Macaca mulatta: one gene and its partners. The protein of the gene in region 7 purifies or fractionates together with the protein of the main gene of each other region. This does not show direct contact. Links are inferred from orthologs where the notes say so. Each region holds a gene or a part of one and is shown on either strand. Other genes may lie near its edges.

Evidence for each region.
Region 1: the proteins of POLR2F (region 7) and POLR3D purify together in Homo sapiens (affinity purification with mass spectrometry; 5 studies listed by BioGRID and IntAct, with this or other methods). This does not show direct contact. The link is inferred for Macaca mulatta from reciprocal best matches to the Homo sapiens genes POLR2F and POLR3D.
Region 2: the proteins of POLR2F (region 7) and POLR3GL purify together in Homo sapiens (affinity purification with mass spectrometry; 3 studies listed by BioGRID and IntAct, with this or other methods). This does not show direct contact. The link is inferred for Macaca mulatta from reciprocal best matches to the Homo sapiens genes POLR2F and POLR3GL.
Region 3: the proteins of POLR2F (region 7) and POLR1E purify together in Homo sapiens (affinity purification with mass spectrometry; 4 studies listed by BioGRID and IntAct, with this or other methods). This does not show direct contact. The link is inferred for Macaca mulatta from reciprocal best matches to the Homo sapiens genes POLR2F and POLR1E.
Region 4: the proteins of POLR2F (region 7) and MED1 purify together in Homo sapiens (affinity purification with mass spectrometry; 3 studies listed by BioGRID and IntAct, with this or other methods). This does not show direct contact. The link is inferred for Macaca mulatta from reciprocal best matches to the Homo sapiens genes POLR2F and MED1.
Region 5: the proteins of POLR2F (region 7) and RPRD1B purify together in Homo sapiens (affinity purification with mass spectrometry; 4 studies listed by BioGRID and IntAct, counting the BioPlex papers as one, with this or other methods). This does not show direct contact. The link is inferred for Macaca mulatta from reciprocal best matches to the Homo sapiens genes POLR2F and RPRD1B.
Region 6: the proteins of POLR2F (region 7) and POLR3C purify together in Homo sapiens (affinity purification with mass spectrometry; 3 studies listed by BioGRID and IntAct, with this or other methods). This does not show direct contact. The link is inferred for Macaca mulatta from reciprocal best matches to the Homo sapiens genes POLR2F and POLR3C.

What each region holds. Positions count from the first base shown.
Region 1 is NC_133413.1:23,888,820-23,893,006, reverse strand, and holds the start of POLR3D (DNA-directed RNA polymerase III subunit RPC4), read right to left. Parts: upstream 2,801-4,187; 5' UTR 2,668-2,800; intron 2,442-2,667; 5' UTR 2,437-2,441; coding exon 2,272-2,436; intron 673-2,271; coding exon 629-672; intron 44-628; coding exon 1-43. UniProt on the Homo sapiens protein: DNA-dependent RNA polymerase catalyzes the transcription of DNA into RNA using the four ribonucleoside triphosphates as substrates.
Region 2 is NC_133406.1:119,326,875-119,330,955, reverse strand, and holds the start of POLR3GL (DNA-directed RNA polymerase III subunit RPC7-like), read left to right. Parts: upstream 1-1,281; 5' UTR 1,282-1,325; coding exon 1,326-1,451; intron 1,452-1,768; coding exon 1,769-1,898; intron 1,899-4,081. UniProt on the Homo sapiens protein: DNA-dependent RNA polymerase catalyzes the transcription of DNA into RNA using the four ribonucleoside triphosphates as substrates. Specific peripheric component of RNA polymerase III which synthesizes small RNAs, such as 5S rRNA and tRNAs.
Region 3 is NC_133420.1:62,108,670-62,112,169, reverse strand, and holds part of POLR1E (DNA-directed RNA polymerase I subunit RPA49), read left to right. Parts: intron 1-2,215; coding exon 2,216-2,297; intron 2,298-3,062; coding exon 3,063-3,194; intron 3,195-3,500. UniProt on the Homo sapiens protein: Component of RNA polymerase I (Pol I), a DNA-dependent RNA polymerase which synthesizes ribosomal RNA precursors using the four ribonucleoside triphosphates as substrates.
Region 4 is NC_133421.1:63,746,349-63,749,848, reverse strand, and holds part of MED1 (mediator of RNA polymerase II transcription subunit 1), read left to right. Parts: intron 1-2,786; coding exon 2,787-3,500. UniProt on the Homo sapiens protein: Component of the Mediator complex, a coactivator involved in the regulated transcription of nearly all RNA polymerase II-dependent genes.
Region 5 is NC_133415.1:90,930,517-90,934,016, forward strand, and holds part of RPRD1B (regulation of nuclear pre-mRNA domain-containing protein 1B), read left to right. Parts: intron 1-894; coding exon 895-1,070; intron 1,071-3,500. UniProt on the Homo sapiens protein: Interacts with phosphorylated C-terminal heptapeptide repeat domain (CTD) of the largest RNA polymerase II subunit POLR2A, and participates in dephosphorylation of the CTD by RPAP2. Transcriptional regulator which enhances expression of CCND1.
Region 6 is NC_133406.1:119,464,809-119,468,308, reverse strand, and holds part of POLR3C (DNA-directed RNA polymerase III subunit RPC3), read left to right. Parts: intron 1-3,177; coding exon 3,178-3,282; intron 3,283-3,407; coding exon 3,408-3,500. UniProt on the Homo sapiens protein: DNA-dependent RNA polymerase catalyzes the transcription of DNA into RNA using the four ribonucleoside triphosphates as substrates.
Region 7 is NC_133415.1:13,546,478-13,549,977, reverse strand, and holds part of POLR2F (DNA-directed RNA polymerases I, II, and III subunit RPABC2), read left to right. Parts: intron 1-399; coding exon 400-469; intron 470-2,977; coding exon 2,978-3,108; intron 3,109-3,500. UniProt on the Homo sapiens protein: DNA-dependent RNA polymerase catalyzes the transcription of DNA into RNA using the four ribonucleoside triphosphates as substrates.

The DNA of each region.
Region 1 (4,187 bases), on a different chromosome or scaffold from region 7:
CCTTTCACGCTTCTCCTTCTTGACAGTTACTTCTTCCTTGGGCCTGGAAAAAAGAATGGATTAAGGGAAACCACTCACTCACTGTGTCTCCAAAAACTGGCCTTACTCTCCCATACCACTTCACTCCAAGACAGCGGAGAGTTTGAGCCAATAATTACACCATGAGAAGCAGAATCCAATCCTAATTCTAGCACTTTTCTCACTTCCTTGATGAGGCAGGATTTTTTCAGTTTGCTTTACTTTACGTTCTTGTCCAAAAATGTAGATTTTTGTTTGCATTGGGACTGAAAGCAGGAAGGCAGAAATGCAAAGGAACTTCAGGGAAAGCGTGATACATCTTTGTTTAAACTATTGGCTCTCAACTCGGGCCATCAAAGAGAATCACTCCATTCTACTGCCAACAAGTTAAATCACAATTTCTAGAGATGGAACCCTAGACACCAGTATTTTTTTTTTTTAAAGCTTAAACATTAGAATCACCTAGGAGCCAGGGTTGAAAATCACTAGTGAAAAGAACTAAAGATATAAATTTAAATTTTGGAGCCACAAACCTACTTATTTCTCCCCAAAGCCCCAAATTCAGAGCAAGTAAATAAGGGGCAAGTATTCAGAAGGACTAGCTACTTACTCTTCCTTGATCTTCCGACTGATGATATTTGGGGTGAAGGTTTTCTGAAAGCAAAATACAGGAGTCACTGATGTGTTAGGTCCTGACCCCAAAGTACAGAGGAAAATAAAAACTCCCAACGGGCATCTTCTACAGACCACGGCCACCATGACTCTCTTTGGCACATTCCACAGTGCTGTCAGTTTTCTAGATACACGTGTGCCTGAAAAGGAGGAACGTCATGGTGTGGCGGCAGTGGAGTTATGCATAGAAGAAAGGGGCACCAAAAACCATTTTTAACCAGCAGCCTTAGGAAAGAAGATCCTGAAAGAAGGTCCTCTGGGACTTCTAAAAGCAAAGGAATTTCTCTGGTCTCACCTCTTATCTTCAAACTGCTATAGAGACCAGTCAGTATCATGGGGGAACATCTCTAGCAGCAAGGCCTAAGTAGGGAAGGCCACAGATCTGCCAATACTCTCAATCACTGTTGGCAGTGTTTTTCCATATTTTCCAAGGCAAAGTTAGGTTTCTAAAGACTGCTTTATGTCCAGGCGTGGTGGCTCACGCCTGTAATCGCAGCACTTTGGGAGGCCAAGGCAGGTGGATCATGAGGTCAGGAGTTCAAGATCAGCCTGGCCAAGATGGTGAAACCCCGTCTCTACTAAAAACTACAAAAATTAGCCAGGTGCGGTGGCAGGCCTCTGTAATCCCAGCTACTCGGGAGGCTGAGGGAGGAGAATCGCTTGAACCCCAGGAGGTGGAGGTTGCAGTGAGCTGAGATGGTGCCTCTGTGCTACAGCCTGGGCGACAGAAAGAGACTCTGTTAAAAACAAAACAAACAAACAAAAAAAACTGCTTTATTTGGCCGGGAGCGGTGGCTCACGCCTGTAATCCCAGCACTTTGGGAGGCCGAGGTGGGTGGATCACAAGGTCAGGGGTTCAAGAACAGCCTGGCCAACATGGTGAAACCTTGTGTCTACTAAAAATACAAAAATCAGCTGGACATGGTGGCGGGCACCTGTAATCCCAGCTACTCAGGAGGCTGAGGCAGGAGAATCACTCAAACCCGGGAGGCAGAGGTTGCAGTGAGCCAAGATCATGCCATTACACTCCAGTTTGGGGGACTAGGGCGAGACTTCGTCTCAAAAAAAAAACCCAAAAACCTGCTTTATTCTTCTGTCATCCTGACCCCACCCCTTTCTGGGCTACTCTTGACATCCACAGTCATATACACATGGGACAGCCCACAGAGCCTCGAATGCCATGCCTAGGATTCATGATACTCTAGATAACAAGTTTGCACACTGAGATGGTGAATTCTGAACGCTCTAAGACTGTGAAGTTTATGCCTGCCTGGCTTTCATGGGTTTCTTAAAGATGTCCAAACACACAATAAGAGTAAATAAACACTGTTCAAATTACTTTTGAACGACTTTAACTTATTAGGATTCTCTGTCTTTCAACCACCTCTGGGACTCATTTCAACATTTTGTACTCAGTACCTAGATTTGAAGATAGGACAGGCTCCCTAGAATTTAAAGAGGGGTAGGCTTGAGGCCCAACGACACTCCTGACACATAGTAGGCCCTACACAAACATCAGTTGAATGCCGGGGCTTGGAATTCAAGGTAGTTGAGTTTCTTTAGAAACGCGCCGTTGGATACCTTCTTGACTCCCCCGAGGGTGAGGTCCCTGGAACGGATGGAGGGAAGGCGGCCGGGGGTGAGGGGAGGCGCCGGCCGCCGCCCGATGAGCCCCCGGGCCCCAGTCAGAAGGGGTCGGGGCCCTCCCGGAGTGCTGGGCTCGCCGGCGGCGTTTCCTTCCGACATGTTGCCTGGGAGAGAAGGGGGGACGAGATTACCAGAGTGGACTGACACGCGGACCCTGGCGGAACCCAACCCCCTTGCTTTCCGGTCCCCCAGTCGGTGCGTCCCTCCAGTGGCCTCTCAGCTCCTCCCCTCCCACGTGGCGAGATTCCCGGGACCACCCAGGTGAGAGCCTTTGGCTCGCGACACGCCCTCTCTCCAGGAACCCCGCCCAGGAACCAGGCAGGGACGCACCCGGGCCGCGGCTCCACACCGCGCGTCACCACTTCACCTGCGACGCGACCCGCTGCCAGCTTTAGGTCTCCGCACCGGGCGGAAGTCTGCGTGGCACCGCCTGGGCGCTGCCATCTTGGCACGGGCCGGATGTGACGTTTCGGGGGCGGGACTGGGCCACAGTATTTATCAGGCGGCGCTTCGCTCCCCTCCGCCTTCTCTTCCCGGTTCTTCCCGGAGTCGGGAAAAGCTGGGTTGAGAGGGCGAAAAAGGATGAGGGAACCGGTCTGGGCTACGCTATGTGGCGGTGCTCGGGGGTCTTGGCCCCCGGGCGGTGGCGTGGAGGTGCCGAGATCAGGGTCGCGGGTCTTGTCGGCCGCCAAGCCGCAATGTGAGGCTTCGCCTCGGCGGAGCCCCTGGGAGCTTGGGGGTAGCTGCTCGGGATGGGACGAGGGGCGCGGCACAGAGAGCGAGACCTGGACTTAGAGTCGGGGAGTCTTGGGCCGTGCGGAGCCCTGTCTGCGGGTTCTCCATGGTGACCTTGGAGTGGTCACTACCTCCGGGCAGCGACCTCGCCCACTCTCGGGGACCCCTTCCCTGTGCTCCTGGTGGAGTCCTGGGGTGAGGCTGTGAGGGCAGCGTTGGAACAGCCGCAGTGGACCAACTGGTGCCCAGTCACACCCGCTTGGGATCACGAAGGCGGTGGCCCTCGGGTGCGCTCTTGGTCAAAGCCTGGACAGAATCGGAATACCAAGTTTGCTCTACTGCTGGAGGAATTTAAAGAACTTTTATTGACTCCAGCGTTTGTGATATAAAAAGTGTCGTTTAATGTTATCTCCCATCCCCCCAGACTGTATAAAAACATTATTACGGGGAGTTTGAGGAAAGGAAATCGTTTCTACCAGAATGCCACGTAGAGTACTACTATTAAAAATTTTGTAATGTGTCTAGTAGTCTTCACAGAGTTGTATCACAATTTCGTATCCTTTTTCTTTTCTTTTTTTGAGGCGAGGTTTCTGCATACTGCAACCTCTGCCTCCCAGCCTCAAGCCATGCTCCCACCTCAGCCTCCCAAGTAGCTGGGACTCTAAATACATGCCACCACGCCCGGCTAATTTTTTTTTTCTTTTTTCTTTTTCTTTTTCTTTTTTTTCTTTTTTTTTTTTTTTTTTTTGTATTTTTGGTAGAGACGGGATTTCACTGTGTTGCTCACACTGGTCTTGAACTCCTGAGCTCGAGTGATGCCACCCGCCTCGGCCTCCCAATGTGCTGGGGTTACAGGCGTCAGCCACTGCGCCTGGCCTGTATCCTGCTTTTTCAAATAACATTTCTCTGTTACGGCATCAAAGACTGCATAGTTCTCCAGTGGCTGTATCATGATTTAAGTATTTCCCTGATTGTTTCTTTTTTCCCTGTTTTAAATAATGCTGTAGTGAATATCTGGTACATTCGACGTGCTTTTTTTCAATTTTGTTTTGGTTTTTGTTTTCTTTCGGATTATATTCCTGGGATAGATTTCCCGTCCTGGGATAACTGGCCAA
Region 2 (4,081 bases), on a different chromosome or scaffold from region 7:
TAGCCAGGCTTGGTGGCACATGCCTGTAGTTCCAGCTACTCAGGAGGCTGAGGCAGGAGGATCACTTGAACCTTGAAGGTGTAGGTTACAGCGAGCCAAGATTGCACCACTGCATTCCAGCCGGGGCAACAGAGTGAGACTCTGTCTCAAAAAAAAAAAAAAAAAAAAAAAGACACACATACACCAAACAACAACAAAACAATTTACAGAGTGAAGTCCTGCACTGGGAGGGATTTAGACTAGATGACCTCTAAGGGTCCTCCGAATTCTAAGATTCTGTGCTTCCAAGTGGTGTTTAAAAAGATCAATCTGGCCTCTCGTGGTGGCTCATGCCTGTAATCCCAGCAATTTGGGAGGCCGAGACATTTGGATCACTTGACATAATGAAATTCCATCTCTTAAAAACAAACAAATAAACAAACAAAAAAACAAAACAAAGAGCCAGGTATGGTGGCACACACCTGTAGCTCCAGCTACTTGGGAGGCTAAGGCAGGAGGATCACCTGAGCCCAGGAGGTTGAGGCTACAGTGAGCCATGATCACACCACTGCACTCCAGCCTGGGTGACATAAAGAGACCTTGTCTAAAATAAAATATAAAATAAAATAAAATAAAATTTGATTGTAATGTCTCTTTTCCCCTGGTTGACAATGAAATTGATGACTCATCCCTGTGCTCCCACAGTGTCTGACACTATCTTTTTCATGGTAGATGATTAATAAATGTTTCGCTGAATGCATTTCTTTGGATTGAATTGGGGCCTGGTCAGGTTTGGAAGGCCAGAGATAGAAAGAATTCAAAGGTTATACATATAAATGCAGTTAGTGACTGGGCATAGTGGCTCATGCCTGTAATCCCAGCACTTTGGGAGGCTGAGGCAGGAGGATCACTTGAGCCCAGGGGTTCGAGGCTAGAGTGAGCTGTGATTGCACCATTGCACTCAAGCCTGGGTGACAGAGTATCTCTAAAAATAAAAATAAATAAATGCAGATAGGAATAAACATCAAATTGTCTTAGGGATGTAGAGTTTTGTCCGAGGGTCTAAGCACTTTCTCCTTTGTGCTAAACTATATTGTAATTATCTGACCTGTTTGGGGGACCATGTCTCATTCATGTTTATGTTTCCAGAAATTCTCTCTCTGACACTGTGCCTTCTCAGTCAAAATTTGTTGAATGACATTGACTTTTTATGTCCCAGCGATAAAAGATTGAATGTCTTGTACCTCCTTGGCTTCCTGTCCATTCTACTACATTTCTTTTTCTCTTTGTTTTTGTCTTTATCAGGTTTTTTCACTGGATCTCTGAACACCCAGGCCCCCTCCACCATGGCCAGCCGGGGTGGGGGCCGGGGTCGTGGCCGGGGCCAGTTGACCTTCAACATGGAGGCCGTGGGCATTGGGAAAGGGGATACTTTGCCCCCACCCACCCTGCAGCCTTCTCCACTCTTCCCTGTGAGTCTCTCCACTTCCTTCCCAGACTCTCATGTGCCCCTGGCTGACTGTACATGATTCTGAATTCCTCCTGGACCATCATAAAACCATCCTCACTGGCCCTCTCTGTCTCTATACTCCCAATGCACAAGGGATGTTTTGCAGTCAAAGAAGTGTCCACCTTTATTTCTCCCCAGCTTTCAAAATGATATGTTACTCTCCCCATTCTCTTTCAGCCCTCTGCTCAGGGGAATATTAGATTAAATTGGGAGGAGGGGTCTTCCTAAATTTGTACTAGCATTTTCTCCCTGAACAGACCACTGCCCCTGCCTCTTTAGCCTTTGGAGTTCCGCCCAGTACCTTTGCCTTCAGGAGAGGAAGGGGAATATGTCCTGGCACTGAAGCAGGAGCTACGAGGAGCCATGAGGCAGCTCCCCTACTTCATCCGGCCAGCTGTCCCCAAGAGAGGTCAGTTGGAATGCTAGCATCATATTCTGAGTGCCTTCCGTGGGGAGTGCCCTGTGCTCAGCACCACTGGGGGCTGGAGAGGCACAGGAAGCATACTGTCTAACTGGGGAGATCATAATAGTTACTCCTGCATCTGAAATGCATTATAGTATTCATGGTTTGTTTTGAGTCTCATGATAGTTTTGGGACAGCGGGAGGTTAAATATTAAAATCCCATTTCTTGTGTGTAGGTGGGGGGATGTATTTTCTAAAAATTTATATATTTTTTATTTTTTTGTAAAATAGAGATGGGGTGTTCTTATGTTGCCCAGGCTGGTCTTGAACTTCTGGGCTCAAGAGATTCTTCCGCCTTGGCCTCCCAAAGTGCTGGGATTACAGGCATGAGCCACCGTGCCCAGCAAAAATTTTAACAATCTGGATATTAAAAGCACCAACCAACAACAGAATACTGAAATCGGCCGGGCGCGGTGGCTCACGCCTGTAATCCCAGCACTTTGGGAGGCCGAGGCGGGCGGATCACAAGGTCAGGAGATCGAGACCACGGTGAAACCCCGTCTCTACTAAAAATACAAAAAATTAGCCGGGCGCGGTGGCGGGCGCCTGTAGTCCCAGCTACTCAGGAGGCTGAGGCAGGAGAATGGCGTAAACCCAGGAGGCGGAGCTTGCAGTGAGCCGAGATCGCGCCACTGCACTCCAGCCTGGGCGACAGAGCGAGACTCCGTCTCAAAAAACAAAAAACAAACAAACAAACAAAAAAACAGAATACTGAAATCCTGGTTTCTTTTTTTTCTTTTTTTTTTTTTTTTTTGAGACGGAGTCTCGCTGTGTCTCCCAGGCTGGAGTGCAGTGGCGCGATCTCGGCTCACTGCAAGCTCCGCCCCCTGGGTTCACGCCATTCTCCCGACTCAGCCTCCCAAGTAGCTGGGACTACAGGCGCCCGCTACCACGCCCGGCTAATTTTTTTGTATTTTTAGTAGAGACGGGGTTTCACCGTGTTAGCCAGGATAGTCTCGATCTCCTGACCTCGTGATCCACCAGCCTCGGCCTCCCAAAGTGCTGGGATTACAGGCTTGAGCCACCGCGCCCGGCCGAAATCCTGGTTTCTTATTCCCTAGCATACTTTCCACTGCATCACACTATTTCTTAATACAGCCATGCCTTTGAACTAAGGGACAGAAAAAAAAAAAAAAAGTCATCATGGCCGGGTGCGGTGGCTCACGCCTGTAATGGCCAGCACTTTGGAAGGCTGACATGGGTGGATCACTTGAGGCCAGGAGTTTGAGGCCAGCCTAACCAGTATGGAGAAACCCTGTCTCTACTAAAAATATAAAAATTAGCCAGGCACAGTGGTGTGAGCCTGTGGTCTCAGCTACTCAGGAGGCTGAGGCACGAGAATTGCTTGAACCTGGGAGGTGGAGGTTGCAGTGAGCTGAGATCTCGCCACTGTACTCTAGCCTGGATGACACAACAAGGCTCTGCCTCAAAAAAAAACAAAAACAAAAACAAAACAAAACAAAAAAACACTGGCCAGGTGTGGTGGCTCACACCTATAATCCCAGCACTTTGGGAGGCTGAGGTGGGCAGCTCACGAGGTCAGGAGTTCGAGACCATCTTGGCCAACATAGTGAAATCCTGTCTGTACAAAAAAAAAAAATACAAAAAATTAGCCAGGCCTGGTGGCAGGTGCCTGTAATCCCAGCTACTTGGGAAGCTGAGGCAAGGAGAATTGCTTGAATCTGGGAAGTGGAGGTTGAAGTGGACCGAGATTGCGCCACCGCACTCCAACCCTGGGCGACAGTGTGAGACTCCATCTGAAAAAAAAAAAAAAAAAATCATAATTTTAGGTGGAAAAGAAACAGGTTAGAAGAGTGATAAGGGGCCGGGCGCCGTGGCTCACGCCTGTAATCCCAGCACTTTGGGAGGGCGAGTTGGGTGGATCACGAGGTCAGGAGATTGAGACCATCCTGGCCAACATGGTGAAACCCTGTCTCTACTAAAAATACAAAAATTAGCTGGGCGTGGTGATGTGCGCCTGTAGTCCCAGCTACTCAGGAGGCTGAAGCAGGAGAATCACTTGAACCTGGGAGGTGGAGGTTGCAGTAAGCTGAGATTGCACCACTGCACTCCAGCCTGAGCGACAGAGCAGGACTCTGTCTCAAAAAAAAAAAAAAAGAAAAAAAAAA
Region 3 (3,500 bases), on a different chromosome or scaffold from region 7:
CAAACATCAGCCGTGTGTGTGTGTGTGTGTGTGTGTGTGTGTGTGTGTGGAGAGAGCGCTTATGAGTTACACATATGTATCTTGAAAGCTTGTGGCAGGTTTGTGTTGTGTCAGCTTATTTCTAACAGGAGAGCGTCAATCTGATGGTAACCCAGTGTCACCTGTAGCCAGGACGCTTTGTGGGTCACACCCTCATACCTACCCAGAGTTGGAAACCCAGGAGATGTCTGTGGTTTTAGGCACAAGGCATATTTAGTTGTTACTGTGATTGGGCATCCAATAGTCTATACTCCTATTTTTTAGTATAGTCATGTGTCACTTAATGATGGGGATATGTTCTGAGAAATGTATCCTTAGGCAATTTTGTCATTGTACAAACATCACAGAGTATATTTGCATAAACCTAGATGGTATAGCCTACTACACACCTAGGCTATATGCTATAAGCTGCTGTTCCTAGGCTGCAAACCTATACAGCATGTTACTATGCTGAATATTATAGGCAATTGTAACACAATGGCATTTGTGTATCTAAATGTATCTAAACAGAAAAGGAATAGTAAAACTATGATATTATAATCTTTTGGGACCGGCTGGGCATGTTGGCTCATGCCTATATCTCAGCACTTTGAGAGGCCAAGGTGAGAGGATCACTTCAGGGCAGGAGTTTGAGACCAGCCTGGGCAACATACCAAGACACTGTCTCTACAAAAAAATAAAAATATTAGCTGGGGTGATGCACGCCTGTACTCCCAGCTATTTGGGAGGCTGAGGCAGGAGGAGTGTTTGAGCCTAGGAGTTCAAGGTTACAGTGAGCTATGAATGCACCACTGCCTCAGTGACAGCAAGACCCTGTGTCAAACAAAATCTTACAGGACCATTGTCACATATGTGGCCTGTCATTCACCAAAAGAACGTAATGTGGGACATGACTGTATTTGCTTAGTCATGCTTTTTTTTTTTTTTGAGACAGGATCTCGCTCTGTCACCCAGGCTGGGGTGCAGACCTATGATCTTGACTCAGTACAACCTCCATCTCCTGGGTTCAAGCAGTTCTGCCTCAGCCTCCTGAGTAGCTGGGATTACAGGCGGGCGTCACCATGCCCAGCTAATTTTTGTGTTTTTAGTAGAGACGGGGTTTTTCCATGTTGGCCAGGCTGGTCTTGAACTCCTGACCTCAGGTGATCCACCCTCCTTGGGCTCCCACAGTGCTGGCTGGGATTACAGGTGTGAGCTACCGCACTCAGCTTGTATTTGCTTAGTTCTTTTTTTTTTTTAGATGGCGTCTCGCTCTGTCACCCAGGCTGGAATACAGTGGCTCGATCTTGGCTCCCTGCATCCTCCACCTCCTGGGTTCAAGGGATTCTCCTGCCTCAGCCTCCCAAGTAGCTGGGGTTATAGGTGCCCGCCACCACACCTGGCTAATTTTTGTGTTTTTAGTAGAGACAGGGTTTCACCATGTTGGTCAGGCTGGTCTTGAACTCCTAACCTCATGATCTGCCCGCCTTGGCCTCCCAAAGTGCTGGGATTACAGGCGTGAGCCACCATGCCCAGCCAGTTTTTTTTTGTTTTGTTTCGTTTTGTTTTGTTTTGAGATGGAGTCTCACTCTATCGCCCAGGCTAGAGTGCAGTGGCGCAATCTCGTCTCACTGCAACCTCTGCCTCCCAGGTTCAAGCTGTTGTTCTGCCTCAGCCTCCTGAGTAGCTGGGATTACACCATACTCAGCTAATTTTTGTATTTTTAGTGGAGGTGGGGTTTCACTGTGTTGGCCAGGCTGGTCTTGAACTCCTGACCTCAGGTGTTCTGCCTGCCTCGGTCTCCCAAAGTGTTGGGATTACAGGTGTGAGCCACTGCATCTGGTCACTTAGTTCTTATTTTCACATTCCAATTCCAGCTTTCCCTGTCTCTCCCTGAGCTTTCAGCACAATTTTTGTTTTCTAAGGTCATGTTAAATCTACGTCCTTAGGCCTCCGGCTGTGTTTTCTTGTCACTGCCCCATCACCAGCATCTCTTGTGCAGGGCAAGCTGCAGGCTGAAGCACACCAAGCATGTTTTCATTTCGATGTGGCCGTTCTGCTTTGTGGGCCCTGCTTCTCTTACCACCTGGTTCTGGTCATTACAGTGGCCCAGCTCCTGGCTTTTCTCTCAACTCATGGTGGAGGTGTGGCCTGAGGGTTTTGAGAGAAAATGATCAAACTCAACTTTGTGTTGTAGGTGCCCTGGGACCTGGAGTTCCCCACATCATCAACACCAAACTGCTGAAGCACTTTACCTGTTTGACGTACAACAATGGCAGGTCAGGGGGTGGTTTCTGGGATTTTTCCTGTGCAGGAGAAAGTGAGTGAGGGTTGGGAGTGAGCAGCAGGGGCTTGGACTCAATTCCACGTCCACAGAGATGCAGTGCTGAAGAGACTGCTGCCATTTGGAAGGCTCCTGGGGCCCCAGTAAGTTTAGCAAACGCTAAATATGACATACTCTGTCCTTTTTGGAAAAGTATTACTTTTGGGGAATCTTAGAAGCTCTGGGAAGTCCTCCAATAAAGACTTGTTTTACTTCACATACTTTTGAAGAGCCCTTCCTGATGTCCCACAGAGCTGGTGTTTGCGGAAAGGCAGTGTTGCAGAAAAGGGCAGCCCAACTCGGTGACTCAGGAAAGACCCGCAAGCGTTGCCCCGGGCTTCCTTCCTGCCATTTGCCTGGAGTATGTTTTCTGCTCTAGAGTGTGCTTGGAAGAATCAGCACAGCTGATTTCGGGATGATTGTTTTCCCAGCAGCCCTGCTGAGCAGGCGGGGACAGACTCAGCGCTAGCGGTGTCCAGGGAGAGTGTAGGCCCAGCCTTCTCTGTCTGCCTCAGAGGGAAACATGGACTGGCCCACTGCTCCACTGTGCGTGAGGCCCAGGAACCTTGGAAGGGCAAAGAAGTCACCCACATTCCTTTTCCTTTCCTGAAATTGGGAAGACATTCAGTGCATATGAGAATAGGGTTGAATGTTCTTATTTTGCTTTTGGAGAAATTGAGAGTTTAATTTTGTTTCTCCTTTATTGCCACTGATTTTCTAGATTACGGAACTTAATTTCGGATTCTATGAAGGCGAAGATTACTGCATATGTGATCATACTTGCCTTGCACATACGTGACTTCCAAATTGACCTGACAATGTTACAGGGGGACTTGAAGCTCAATGAGAAAAGGTGAGCACAACAGAATAAAGAGCTCCCTGCAGGGTGCCTTGATGTCTTATTTCTGGTACCACTGGAAAGCATGAGGCACCACCAAGGGAACTGAGGATGTTTAAATGTGGGAACAACTTGGAACTAGAGGACTATTTTCAGTGAATGAATCATTGACTGAATGAGTAACTAGACATTACTGAGTGCCTTCTCTGTGCTAGGCACGGTCTTAAATTATGTCATTATCTCACTGATTTCCCTAGAAAACAATTGAAAAATCAGGCTCAGAAAAGTACATGACTTTCTCAAGGTTACACAACCAAGAGG
Region 4 (3,500 bases), on a different chromosome or scaffold from region 7:
TAATCCAAGCTACTCAGGAGGCTGAGGCAGGAGAATTGCTTGAACCTGGGAGGCAGAGGCTATAGTGAGCTGAGATTGTGCCACTCCACCCCAGCCTGGTAGACAGAGCAAGATGCCATCTCAAATAAAAAGCCAACTTAATTGTTGCATGAAAGATAGTTAAGCCAGTATGCATCCCAGAACCATTAATAAGTAATTTTGTGAGATTTTTCTACAGCTAGGTCTGGCAGCCTATTTTTGTAAATAAATTTTATTGGAACACTGCTGTTCATTTACATGTCTGTGGCAGATTTCTAGGTAATATTGCAGAGTAGGTGAACAGGAAACGTGACGTACAAAGCCTAACATATTACTACATGACCTTATAAGAAAAATTTGTGGCCGGGTGTGGGGGCTCACCCCTGTAATTCCAGCACTTTGGGAGGCCAAGGTGGGTAAATCATGAGGTCAGGAGTTAAAAACCAGTCTGGCCAAGATGGTGAAACCCCATCTCTACTGAAAATACAAAAATTAGCTGGGCGTGGTGGCAGGCTCCTGTAATCCCAGCTACTTGGGAGGCTGAGGTAGAGAATTGCTTGAACCTGGGGGGCAGAAGTTGCTGTAAGCCAAGATCATGCCACTGCACTCCATCCTGGGCAACAGAGCGAGACTCCATCTCAAAAAAAAAACAGAAAGAAAAATTTGCTGGCTGGGTGTGGTGGCTCACGCCTATAATCCCAGCACTTTGGGAGGTGGGCGGATCACCTGAGGTCAAGAGTTCGAGACCAGCCTGACTGACATGGAGAAACCCTGTCTCTACTAAAAATACAGAATTAGCTGGGCGTGATGGTCCATGGCTGTAATCCCAGCTACTCGAGAGGCTGAGGCAGGAGAATCACTTGAACCTGGGAGGCAGAGGTTGCCGTGAGCCGAGATCGTGCCATTGCACTCTAGCCTGGGCAACAAGAGCAAAACTCCGTCTCAAAAAAAAAAAAAAGAAAAAAAATTTGCTGACATATGTTCTAGAGCAAAACATTTGCAAACTGAGGTTTATGAATATAAATTTATCTGGAAAATAAGTGCTTTGCTTTAAAATAAGATTTATAACAAATAGCACTTTTTATAACAGGTGTAGGTTTGGGATCTAAGTCAGTAAGGTTTAGAAATTGATAGGTCAAGAGATTTTTCTTTTTTTTTTTTTTTGAGACAGAGTCTCATACTGTCACCTGGGCTGGAGTTAGTGTGATCTCGGCTCACTGCAACCTCTGCTTCCTGGGTTCAAGCAATTCTCCTGCCTCAGCCTCTCAAGTAGTTGGGATTACAGGCACCCACCACCACGCCCAGCTAATTTTTTTTGTGTTTTTTTTTTTTAATTAGAGATGGGGTTTCACTATGTTGGCCAGGCTGGTCTCAAACTCCCCACCTTGTGATCTGCCTGCTGCGGCCTCCCAAAGTGCTGGGATTACAGGCGTGAGCCACTCTGACCAGCCAAGATTTTTCTAATGGTTCCTTAATTAAAATAAATTATGTATCCTTGTAATTGCCATATGAAGCCCCCAAGGAAGACATTTTCTTTGAGATGGAGTCTTGCCCTGTCACCCAGGCTGGAGTGCAATGGGACGATCTTGGCTCACTACGACCTCTGCCTCCTGGGTTTCAGTGATTCTCCTGTCTCCCTTTACTGAGTAGCTGGGATTACAGCCGTACACCGCCACGGCTGGCTAATTTTTTGTATTTTTAGTAGAGACACGGTTTCACCATGTTGGCCAGGCTGGTCTCAAACTCCTGACTCCCAAGTGATCCACCCGCCTCGACCTCCCAAAGTGCTGGGATTACAGGAGTGAGCCATCACGCCTGACCTAAGGAGGCTTTTTTTTTTTTTTTTTTTTTTTTTGTTGAGACAGAGTCTTGCTCTGTCACCAAGCTGGAGTGCAGTGGCATGATCTTGGCTCAATGCAACCTCCGCCTCCCTAGTTCAAGCAATTCTCCTGCCTCAGCCTCCCAAGTAGCTGAGATTACAGGCCACGTGCCACCACACCCAGCTAATTTTTGTATTTTTAGTAGAGATGGGGTTTCATTGGCCGGGCGCGGTGGCTCAAGCCTGTAATCCCAGCACTTTGGGAGGCCGAGACGGGCGGATCACGAGGTCAGGAGATCGAGACCATCCTGGCTAACACGGTGAAACCCCGTCTCTACTAAAAATACAGAAAACTAGCCGGGCGAGGTGGCGGGCGCCTGTAGTCCCAGCTACTCCGGAGGCTGAGGCAGGAGAATGGCGTAAACCCGGGAGGCGGAGCTTGCAGTGAGCTGAGATCCGGCCACTGCACTCCAGCCCGGGCTACAGAGCAAGACTCCGTCTCAAAAAAAAAAAAAAAAAAAAAAAAAAGAGATGGGGTTTCACCATGTTGGCCAGGATGGTGTCGATCTCCTGACCTCATGTTCCAGCTGCCTCAGCCTGCCAAAGTGCTGGAATACAGGCGTGAGCCATTGCGACTGGCCCCTAAGGAGGCATTTTCTGAGTTCCATTATTACCAATCTTTTAGTTCAGTTTGAAATTCAATTATTTGGACTCTTGTTTATAGTTTGCTTTTGTTGTGTGATTCATAAGAGACTGACAATTTTATGTTGGGTTAGATTTTTATAATGTATTTACCCAAAGCTCTGGTATTTGATAGAACTATTTTTGCCTTATACGATTTGCCCTACCTGGAAACTGCTTACTGCAGAACTCTGATGGTTTATCTAAATCTCAGGTCTCATTCAGCAGCTATTGAAATATTAACTTTGTTTTCTTCCTTATCTTGCAGATGTATGTCCATCCCTGTGACGATGAGGGCTATTCGGAGGAAAGCTGAAACCATTCAGGCCGACACCCCAGCACTGTCCCTCATTGCAGAGACAGTTGAAGACATGGTGAAAAAGAACCTGCCCCCGGCTAGCAGCCCAGGGTATGGCATGACCACAGGCAACAACCCAATGAGTGGTACCACTACACCAACCAACACCTTTCCGGGGGGTCCCATTACCACCTTGTTTAATATGAGCATGAGCATCAAAGATCGGCATGAGTCGGTGGGCCATGGGGAGGACTTCAGCAAGGTGTCTCAGAACCCAATTCTTACCAGTTTGTTGCAAATCACAGGGAACGGGGGGTCTACCATTGGCTCGAGTCCGACCCCTCCTCATCACACGCCGCCACCTGTCTCTTCGATGGCCGGCAACACCAAGAACCACCCGATGCTCATGAACCTTCTTAAAGATAATCCTGCCCAGGATTTCTCAACCCTTTATGGAAGCAGCCCTTTAGAAAGGCAGAACTCCTCTTCCGGCTCACCCCGGATGGAAATATGCTCGGGGAGCAACAAGACCAAGAAAAAGAAGTCATCAAGATTACCACCCGAGAAACCAAAGCACCAGACTGAAGATGACTTTCAGAGGGAGCTATTTTCAATGGATGTTGACTCACAGAACCCTATCTTTGATGTCAACATGACAGCTGACACACTGGATACACCACACAT
Region 5 (3,500 bases), about 77 Mb from region 7:
ATAGTTTAAGAGATAGAGTACTATAGATCATTTTAGAGATCTGGCTTCGAGTCCCAGCATCTTAGCTGACTGCATATTGAAACCTGTCATGTAGGGTTTTTTTGGCGGGGAGGAGGTCTTAGTTCCCACACCCAAGAGATAAAGTGCACGCTATTTTTTATTCCAATGGAAAGTAAAAAGACTACTTAATGAAATACGGTTGTCCCTCCATATCCATGGGGGTTTGGTTCCAAGACCTTCTGAGAATACCAAAATCCAAGGTTGCTCACGGCCCTTAAATAAAATGGTGTCGGATTTGTCTATAACCAACGAACATCTTCCCATATACTTTAAATACTCTCTAGATTACTTATCATAGCTAATGCAATGTAAATGCTGTGTTAATAGTTGTTATTCTGTATTTTTTAAATTGTGGGTTTTTAATCGTTATTTTTATTGGTTTGTGGGGTTCTTTGGTCTGAGTATTTTCCATTTATGGTTGGTTAATCCACAGATACAGAACCCACAGATATAGGGGGCCAACTGTAATATAAATGAAAGCACTTGAAATTCTCAGAGGCAAGGAACGATTTTTTCACGGATGATCTTCAATATCTCTTTCTGCTTGTTTTGTCTGGAGAGCTTTTGCAGGAACAGGCATTTAGAAAGCCTTTGCCAGATTCCTCCCTTGTACCACTTCCTTACCTCGGGTAATTGAGTAGTGTCCTGTCTTGCTGACAGGGTGAATACCTTTGGATTTCTTGATCAATCAACTCATTGTTTGTCCACAGGTTCTGGCTTATTCTTAGACTCTGTATATTGGGAGAGAAACTGTTAACCTCCCCCAGAAATGTTTCTAATCATACCTATGTGATTTGTATATTTTCTCTATTTTTTGATCTCATTTGTACTTAGACAAAGAGGCAGCTGAACGTCTTTCAAAAACAGTAGATGAAGCATGTCTGTTACTAGCAGAATATAACGGGCGCCTGGCGGCAGAGCTGGAGGACCGTCGCCAGCTGGCTCGGATGTTGGTGGAGTATACCCAGAATCAGAAAGATGTTTTGTCCGAGAAGGAGAAAAAGCTAGAGGTGAGTCCATTAAAAGGCAGACCCAGACTGTCCACGTTTCCCTTCCTGTAGCCCACATTAGGAGGTTTTTATTATGCTTTAATTAACAACATTTTTATCATTTAAAAATTCATGATGTGAATTCTGAATATCCATCAGATACTGTAGTTATTTGAGCACAGTTAAAAATTGAAGTCATGTTCTTATATGTCCAGGACAGAACAAACTGGATTGTAGGAAACAAACAGTGAACTCTTAATCACAACCTTAGGATCTTAATACTGCTTTCGTTTGAACTCATGTTTAAAAAAATTATAAATTGAGGTATAAAAACAATAGCAAATCAGTGAAAACCAAAGAGTATGTTTGGTGGTAGTTGGGAAGTGCTGAAAAACGTTTCTTTTAAGGCATTTGGAAGGTTTTTTTTGTTTTTGTTTTGTTTTTTGTGTGTGTGTGGTTTTTTTTTTTTTTTTTTTTTTTTGAGATGGAGTCTCGCTGTCGCCCAGGCTGGAGTGCAGTGGTACGATCTTGGCTCACTGCCACCTCCACCTCCCGGGTTCATGCCATTCTCTTGCCTCAGCCTCCTGAGTAGCTGGGACTACAGGCATCCACCACCACGCCCGGATAATTTTTTGTATTTTTAGTAGAGACGGGATTTCACCATGTTAGCCAGGATGGTCTCGATCTCCTGACCTCGTGATCCGCCCGTCTCAGCCCAGAATGCTGGGATTACAGGCATGAGCCACCGCGCCTGGCCATTTGGAGGTTTATTTCTGACTTGTATCCATGCTGTGGCTGAGAAGTTGTCTGCCTCCAAGATCTATCTGTAGTCAGCTCTTAAATTTCACAGTAGTATTTATAAAGCACAGTTCTCAAACTGTAGAGGAAGAACTCATTTCTACCCTGGGTTGAGGACATTAGTCCGAGTGACCTTGGGGAGGGAGTTCAGAAACATTTCCTCCCCATACACTTGTTTGGTTTCGTAGTTAAGTGCATGGTGGTTTACCCTCAGTGCTTGGTCCCATGGGATAACACAGCCAGCAGTGTGAATGTTTGGGAACTTTTGCTGCCCCGGGCTGCTGCACTTCCTTTTCAGGAATGTCTGCTCTTCTTTTTTCAAGAGATATGGAAAAGAGTTGCAGCCAGTGGTTTTGTAAAGGAGGACACTTCTGAGTTAGAGAGCCGGTCATGTTGTATTTCAAGAAATACTTCTTAAATCCCTCTCAGAGTAGACAAGGGACAAGGAGAGCCATGTCACCTCCATGCTCAGGAAACATGCTCTGGCACAGAAGGAGGGAACATTGAGCTAGCTCTGAGGCTGAGATCATTGTATTTGCCTTTCAGCACGGTCATCTGACTTGAGGGGAAATGAGTGGCAGGCACTTTTTACCGTATCCTTACCTGCAGTGATTCTGGGAACCGTGTTGCATAGTGGTAGCAGGAACTTCACATTCGTAGCCTGCTTGAATGTGGAAGGTGCGAAAGGGCTGTCAACATCCTACGGCTTAGATTTAGACATCGGCACTGACCAGAGATCCTAAAGGGAGTTTCACAGGCAGTACCAGACGGTCATTTATCTGAAATGCTCATCTTTCACTGAGGAAGCATTTTCAGCACTGTGCCCCGGGACTAATAAGAGAGTGTAATTAATGATTCTGGTTGTAAGTCACCATGCCATCTGTTGAACTGCCCCTTGGCGACACATTAAGGGCTTTCTCTGATCTGTCAGACATTGATTATCATGAGCAGCTGTTGTTGGGTGGAACGTGGCAAGCAACCATAGAGGGCAGAGTCTTTGAGGAGATCGGGTTGGTAGAGCTGGTTAACTCTTTGTTCTGTTTTCCCTCCCCATAGTTGCACTTTCCTCTGTGTATTGTTGGGGAATCATTCTGGTTTTTGTAGAACTAGTGGTTTGCTGGACACCATGAGAGGGCATTAAGGTGGAGAAACAGATTAGAGCTTTGGATGCGTCCTGTAACTTTCTAGTCTACATTGCTCTGCCTGGTTCATTCAGTGGAATGGTGTTGGCATTCCGTTGCTGAAGAAGCGGAACAGGAAGGCCCCACCACTGGAACCAAAGTACAGAGTCTGAACTGAAGGTTCTTATCTCAAACCATGTCTCCCAGGCATATGAGCAGAACCATTTATTGTAAAAATAGAGCCGATTTGCTGCATTAAAGAAAGCAAATGACTAGATACAATATAAGGTTTTTTTCTGAGATGGAGTCTCACTCTGTCACTCAGGTTGGAGTGCAGTGACGTGATCTCAGCTCACTGCAACCTCCACCTCCCAGTCTCAACCAATCCCCCGTCTCAGCCTCCTGGGTAGCTGGGATTGTAGGCATGTACTACTACGCCCGGCTAATTTTTTTTATTTTTTTTTATTTTTAGCAGAGACAGGGATTCACCATATTGGCCAGGCTGGTCTCGAACTCCTGACCTCAAGTGATC
Region 6 (3,500 bases), on a different chromosome or scaffold from region 7:
TAGAAAGATTATTATAGCATAGCAGTTCCTAACCTGTACTACTCCATGGATGGATTTCAGAGAGTCTGCTTGTACTTATGTGCATTTTTCAGTGAAGCTCTCCATACCTTTCATTACATTCTTCAAAGGAACTGTGACCCAAAACAGTTTAAAAAAAAAAAAAAAAGAAATGGGAAGAATGATGCAAAACAAAATTAGAAGGAGAAAACCCAGTTATTCCTTTTATAGTGTCTGCTATGTTTTAAAGGGGAAAAAAACAAGAAAAAAGAAAAACCAGTTAGGAGGTTATTGTAGTAATCCAGATGGGACAAGATTTAGAGTCTGAAATAAGGTAATGATAGGAGAGAGAAAAGTAGACATCTGATAACTATGAAGAGTAGATAGAACTTGGTAATGTGGTAGATTATGGACAGCAAGGGACTAGGGGTGATACCCAAGTTTGTAGCTTAAGAAATTGGGTTGGCCGGCCAAGCACGGTGACTCACGTCTGTAATCCCAGCACTTTGGGAGGCCGAGGCAGGTGGATCACCTGAGGTCAGAGTTCAAGACCAGCCTGGTCAACATGGTGAAACCCCGTCTCTACTAAAAATACAAAAATTAGCCGGCCATGGTGGTAGGTGCCTGCAATCACAGCTACTTGGGAGGCTGCGGCAGGATAATGGCCTGAACCTGGAAGGCAGAGGTTGCAGTGAACCGAGATTGCACCACTGAACTCCATCCTGGGTGACAGAGCGAGACTCTATCTCCAAAAAAAAAAAAGAGAGAAAGAAAGAAATTGGGTTGTCTAGGCACAGTGGCTCTCGCCTGTAATCCCAGCATTTTGGGAGGCTGACGCAGAAGAATCACTTGAGCCCAGGAGTTTGAGACCAGCCTGGACAACATAGACCCTATCTCTACCAAAAAAAAAAAAACCCACCAGACCTGATGGCACATGCTTGTAGTCCCAGCTACTGAGGGGCTGAGGTGGGAGGATCACTTGAGCCCAGGAAGTCAAGGCTGCAGTGAGCCACAATTGTGCCATTGCACTACAGCTTGGGCAACAGAGCAAGACCCTGTCTCAAAAAAAAAAAAAACTGGGATGGTTATAGTGCAGTTACCTGAAAACTTACAAAACAGAACAGTTTGGAGAACAAGTGAAAGTGTCAAATAGGCAGCTGAGTCTATGCATCTGAAGCCTAATAGAGGGTTCTAGGATAGGCCGGGTGCGGTGGCTCATGCCTGTAATCCTAGCACTTTGGGAGGCCGAGGCGGGTGATCACCTGAGGTGAGGAATTCGAGACCAGCCTAGCCAACATGGCGAAACCCCATCTCTACTAAAAATATAAAAACTAGCCAGGCATGGTGGCACAGGCCTGTAATCCCAGCTACTCAGGAAGCTGAGGCAGGAGAATCGCTTGAACCTGGAGGGTGGAGGTTGCAGTGAGCCGAGGTTGTGCCACTTCACTCCAGCCTGGGCAAAAGAGCAAAACTCCGTCTCAAAAAAAGAGAGAGAGGGTTCTAGGATAGAGTGACATATTTGGAAATGCACCAATAGTTGAAACCTGGAGAGCAGATAAAATTACCCAAGTAGAGCATGTAGAATAAAAAGAAAGGAAAGGTATGGATAGAACCCTGGCAAAACACCAGTATTATAGGTGGGATCTGAAAGAGGAATCGGTGGAGACTGAGGAAAGGTGGCCAGAAAGGTTCAAAGTAGCACCAAGAAAAAATAGTGTCAGCCAGGCCCAGTGGCTCACACCTGTAATCCTAACACTTTGGAAGGGCAAGGCTGGCGGATCACTTGAGCCTAGGAGTTTGAGACCATCCTGAGCAACATGGTGAGACCCTGTCTCTACAAAAAATACAAAAATTACCCAAGCGTGGTGGCACACACCTGTGGTCCCAGCTACTTGGGAGGCTGAGGTGAGAGGATCACCTGAGCCCAAGGAGGTCAAGGCTGCAGTGAGCTACGATCACACCACTGCTCTCCAGCCTGGGTGACAAAGACCCTGTCTTTAAAAAGAAAAAAAAAAAAATGGTGTCATAAAATCCAAGGAGCCACATAAAGTTTTAAGAAGGAAAAAATGTCCAACCATGTCATATGCTTCCAAAAGGTTAAATAAGATCAGAAGTGGAAAGTATTATTTGAACTTAACAACATAGAGTCCTCAGGGACAATTGTGGAATTTCACTGGAATGCAAGTGACAATTGACATTTCAGTACAATGGTGGAAACGGGTTAAGTAAATCTAGATAGAGATAACAGCTGGGATGGCCAACTGTTTGAGAAGCTTGGCTGTGACAGTAAGGAAAAGAAGAGAAGGCATAGGGTTGAAGGAGAATTCTAGAGTAAAAGAGACTTGGACAGGGTAAAGGCTGATAAGAAGGCAGTAGAGAAGGAAAGGCTGAAGATGTTAGAGGACAGGGTAAAATAGAGCTGGATCGCCAAGAATGAATGAGAGAGTAAGATCTGGAATACCAATATGGGCATTAACCTTAGGTAAAAGGAACATTTTTCAGCTGTGATAAAAGTGAGTGAAAATATGAGTTAAGAACAAAAAAGAAAGAAATGTGGTGAGGATGTGCACAGAGCTGAGTAAGTTCTGGCTTAGTGGCTTCTATTTTCTCTGTGAAATCAGAGGCAAAGTCATCTGCCAAGAGTGAGAAGGAAGAAGGGTCAGGTTGGAGACTTGAGGGTAATGGAGAAGAGTTAAAATAGGGAGAGAAAGGGCGGTCATGGTGGCTCACGCCTGTAATCCCAGCACCAGCCTAGCCAACACTGTAAAACTCAAACTCTACTAAAAATAGAAAAATTAGCCTAGCTCAGTGGTGGTTGCCTGTAATCCCAGCTACTCGGTAGGCTGAGGCAGGAGAATCGCTTGAACCCGAGAGGCAGAGGTTCCAGTGAGCCGAGATCATGCCACTGCACTCCAGTCTGGGTGACAAGAGCAAAACTCCATCTCAAAAAAAAAGTAAAATAATAAAATAGGGAGAGAAAGATTGGAGATGAGCTTAGAGAACCTGTTTGAAGTTGGGATTTGTCTAGACACCAATCTACATGACTGAATGATTTTTCTCCAACCAATTTAGTTGTTACTGTGTAGGAAAAGAAATGGTGAACCATTAAATCCAAGCTCCTCACCAGAAAACTTTACATTATATCTAAATGTTTCTCTCTAAATCTTTTCTCTTCCTCAGCCCATTCCAGATGACGGGATTTATTGGCAGGCCAACCTTGACAGATTCCACCAACACTTCCGTGATCAAGCCATTGTGAGTGCAGTTGCTAACAGGATGGACCAGGTAATACCTAAGTGGGTCTGTCATTGGTCATCAGGGACATTTACTTATTTGTCATATCTGGCCATTGGCACAGAGAGCCGGGGGCAGCACTGTGATTTCTGAATTCTAGTTTACTTTTCAAACAGACGAGCAGCGAGATTGTGCGAACCATGCTCCGAATGAGTGAGATTACCACTTCCTCTAGTGCTCCCTTCACCCAGCCATTGTCTTCCAATGAG
Region 7 (3,500 bases):
CCAGAGCCACCACGCCTGGCCTCTGATTTTTATTTTTTATTTTTCTTATTTTATTTACTTTGAGACAGGTTCTTGTTCTGTCACCCATGCTGGAGTGCAGCAGTGCAATCTTGGCTCACTGCAATCTCCACCTCCTGGGTTCAAGCAATTCTTGTGACTCAACCTCCCGAGTAGCTGGTATTACGGGCATGTGCCACCATGCCTGGCTAATTTTTGTATTTTTAGTAGAGACGGGGTTTTGCCACGTTGGCCAGGCTGGTCTCGAATTCCTGGCCTCAAGTGATCCACACACTTCGGTCTCCCAGAGTACCAGGATTACCAGTGTGAGTCACCATACCTGGCCCCTCTTTGATTCTTGTAAGTGATGCTCTAAGTAACTGATCTCTTCTTCCTGTACAGTTTTGATGGTGACGACTTTGATGATGTGGAAGAGGATGAAGGGCTAGATGACTTGGAGAATGCTGAAGAGGTCAGTATTCAGCCTCAGGCTCCCACCTCTGCAGCCCAAGCTGCCAAATAGTCTGGCAGGTGATAATTAGCTGAACGTGTCTACCTTCTGTTTGTGGTCAAGGCCCCTGCCATAAGCATTCCCAGTTAGAGTGAGCTGTGTTCCAGTCTTGCATAGCAGAACAGCCCTGCAGGGTGGACCTGAAAGCTTTTGTCCATGTGGTCCACAGCCTGTGGCTTCTGGGGCAGTTAGTTCACTGACAAGTTAAACAGTGCCTTCCTTCATTCGGCAAACACGTGTTGAATGTTTATTATGTGCCAGGTGCTTTCTGCAGGGTGGGACTAGTTAGGGAGCAAAAGGAAGAGGTAAGCAGGGCTCAGATGAGGCAGTATTTTGTAGCCTAAAGGCAATGGGAAGCTACTGACAAATTTTGAGCCAGGGCACAGTCCAGTTTACATTTTAGAAAGTGCAATCCTGCCTTGAGTAAGGAGTGAACTGGGGAAGGGCAAGAGTGGAAGGTGAGAGGCCTGTGGCTTGGATATAGGTGCTGGTAGTGCAGGTGATGAGAAGACACATGAAAGAGTTATTGCGGTGGGTTGGTTATGGGGCTGAGAAAGTGAGCGGTGACAAGGACGACTCTCAGGTTTCTGGCTTGAGCAACTAGGTGGATAGGTTGCTAGCCTCATGAGGAAAGTAGGGCTTTCTGTCCTGTGTGACTGATGAGGGAAAAAAATGCAGTTATGTCCTGGAGAGACAGGGAGCCCTCTCTCTCTCTGCATGGCACTTTCAGATACCTTTTCGCTTGAGTCAGATGTGTCCTTCTCCATCATTCTGGTCGCCTTCCCATCACTGTCATGTAGATTGTGCCTTCTGGATGTACTTCAGCCCTGTCTGCATTTTTCTACTCCTGGTGCCTTAGGCTGGCTTAGATCTCATTGCTTTTCAGCCACATTCCTGCAGGAATTGTGTGGCTGGTTTTCCTGCTTCAGTCTCACTCCAGACTGCTCTGAGTGCTCTTCTCCTTTCAGCGCCCTTTCTTACTTGCCCACGTGCTCAGTTACTACTGGCTTTCCTAAATGGCCTCTCTGCTTCTGCCACTGCCCCCTGCAGAATATTCTCAACAGAGTATCCAGAGTGATCCTTTCTTTATGTTGTTGTTGTTTGTTTGCTTGTTTTAAATTAAGAAGTGGTGTCTTGCTACGTTGTCTAGGCTAGAGTACAATGGCTATTTGCAGGTGCGGTCATAGCGCACTACAGCCTTGAACTCTTGGGCTCAAGTGATCCTTCCAGTTCAGCCTCTCAAGTAGCTGGAACTGTAGGTTCTGCACCACCATGTCCAGCTCAGAGTCAACCTTTTTTTTTTTTTTTTTTTTTTGAGACAGAGTCTTGCTCTGTCGCCCAGGCTGGAGTGCAGTGGTGAGATCTGGGCTCACTGCAAGCTCCGCCTTCTGGGTTCACGCCATTCTCCTGCCTCAGCCTCCTGAGTAGCTGGGACTACAGGCGCCCGCCACCACGCCCGGCTAATTTTTTTTTTTTGTATTTTTAGTAGAGACGGAATTTCACCGTGTTAGTCAGGGTGGTCTCGATCTCCTGACCTTGTGATCCGCCCACCTCAGCCTCCCAAAGTGCTGGGATTACAGGCGTAAGCCACCGTGCCCGGCCTGTTTACTTAATTCTTTATATACCACAGAATTTATTCTCCTGCCTACAATCCTCTACGCACCTTTCATTCTAATTATTGTCCACAACTAGCTGTCCAAACCTCTTTCTCCTCTGTGCCTTTGCATGTTGCCTCCTTCCTCGTTGGTTTGACAGCTGCTGCTCATCCTTCTAGGTGAGCTCAAATCTCATCCCTGGAGTTTTCCTGACTCCCAGTGTGAGGTGTCCCCACCTCCTTGGGAACTCTGTTGCACACTGCATCCCTTCATAGCACCTGCTCTGTTTACTCTTGTCTCCCCCTTTAGACCATTAATTCTTTGAGAGCAGAAATTCCTAGCTTGCTTTCTCAGTATCTGTTAATGATATCTGATTCAGGACAAATACTTAGTAAGTAATTGTTAAATATTCCTGTCTTCACCTTGATTTTTCTAGTCACTTGACCCATTGGCTTAGCTCCCCTATCTGAAAGATGGGGAGACTATTCCTAGCTTCCTGCTTAGGGTAATTTTTTTGTGCCAGGACCTCTTTTACAGGACCAGTGTTCTGAGACCACCCCATCTCCAGGCCCTCTGCTCTCTTCTGGATGAGGCAGCCAGCTCTGGAATCTCAGTCATGGTCCTCCATTACAAGGTCTCAGGCTATGTCAGGTTAGCTGACTTTCCAAGCCTCTGAAATGAGAACTGTAATCCCTGTCTCATAAGGTTATTGTAAGGATTACATGAGTCGTTAGGAAGCAGTCATGCAGTACCCTGGTATGCAGTAAGCATTAATGGTGGCAGTAGCGGGGATTATGATTGTTGTCATTATCACCCTCCCTGTAATCCAAAAATGCCACCTGAGATTTTCCCTCTTTTTTGTCTTGGTGTCCAGGAAGGCCAGGAGAATGTCGAGATCCTCCCCTCTGGGGAGCGACCGCAGGCCAACCAGAAGCGAATCACCACACCATACATGACCAAGTACGAGCGAGCCCGTGTGCTGGGCACCCGAGCGCTCCAGATTGCGTGAGTGATTGCCCCTTCACTGTCTTCTCCATCTGTCAGACCACAGTGAGCTCCTGTACCGCTAATCTTGCCCAGCCTGGCACCTGAAAACACTCTCTGCTCTCACATTCCAAAGGTGGTGCCGTCCCTGCGTACCAGGCATTGTGCTAGGCCCCTGCCCTCAGGGAGCTTGTGATCTAATAGGAGAACTAGGATATGAACATCTGAGAAGTCAAGTAATAGTATGGGAGAAAAATGATTAAAAAAAAAAACAAAACAGAACTAGATGGTTGCCTGTCACATTCGTGCAGCAAAAAAGGTGAATTCAGAGCCAATGGGTACCAGTGATTCTTTTTTTTTTTTTTTTTTGAGATAGAGTCTCACTGAGTCGCCTAGACTGGAGTGCAATGGCA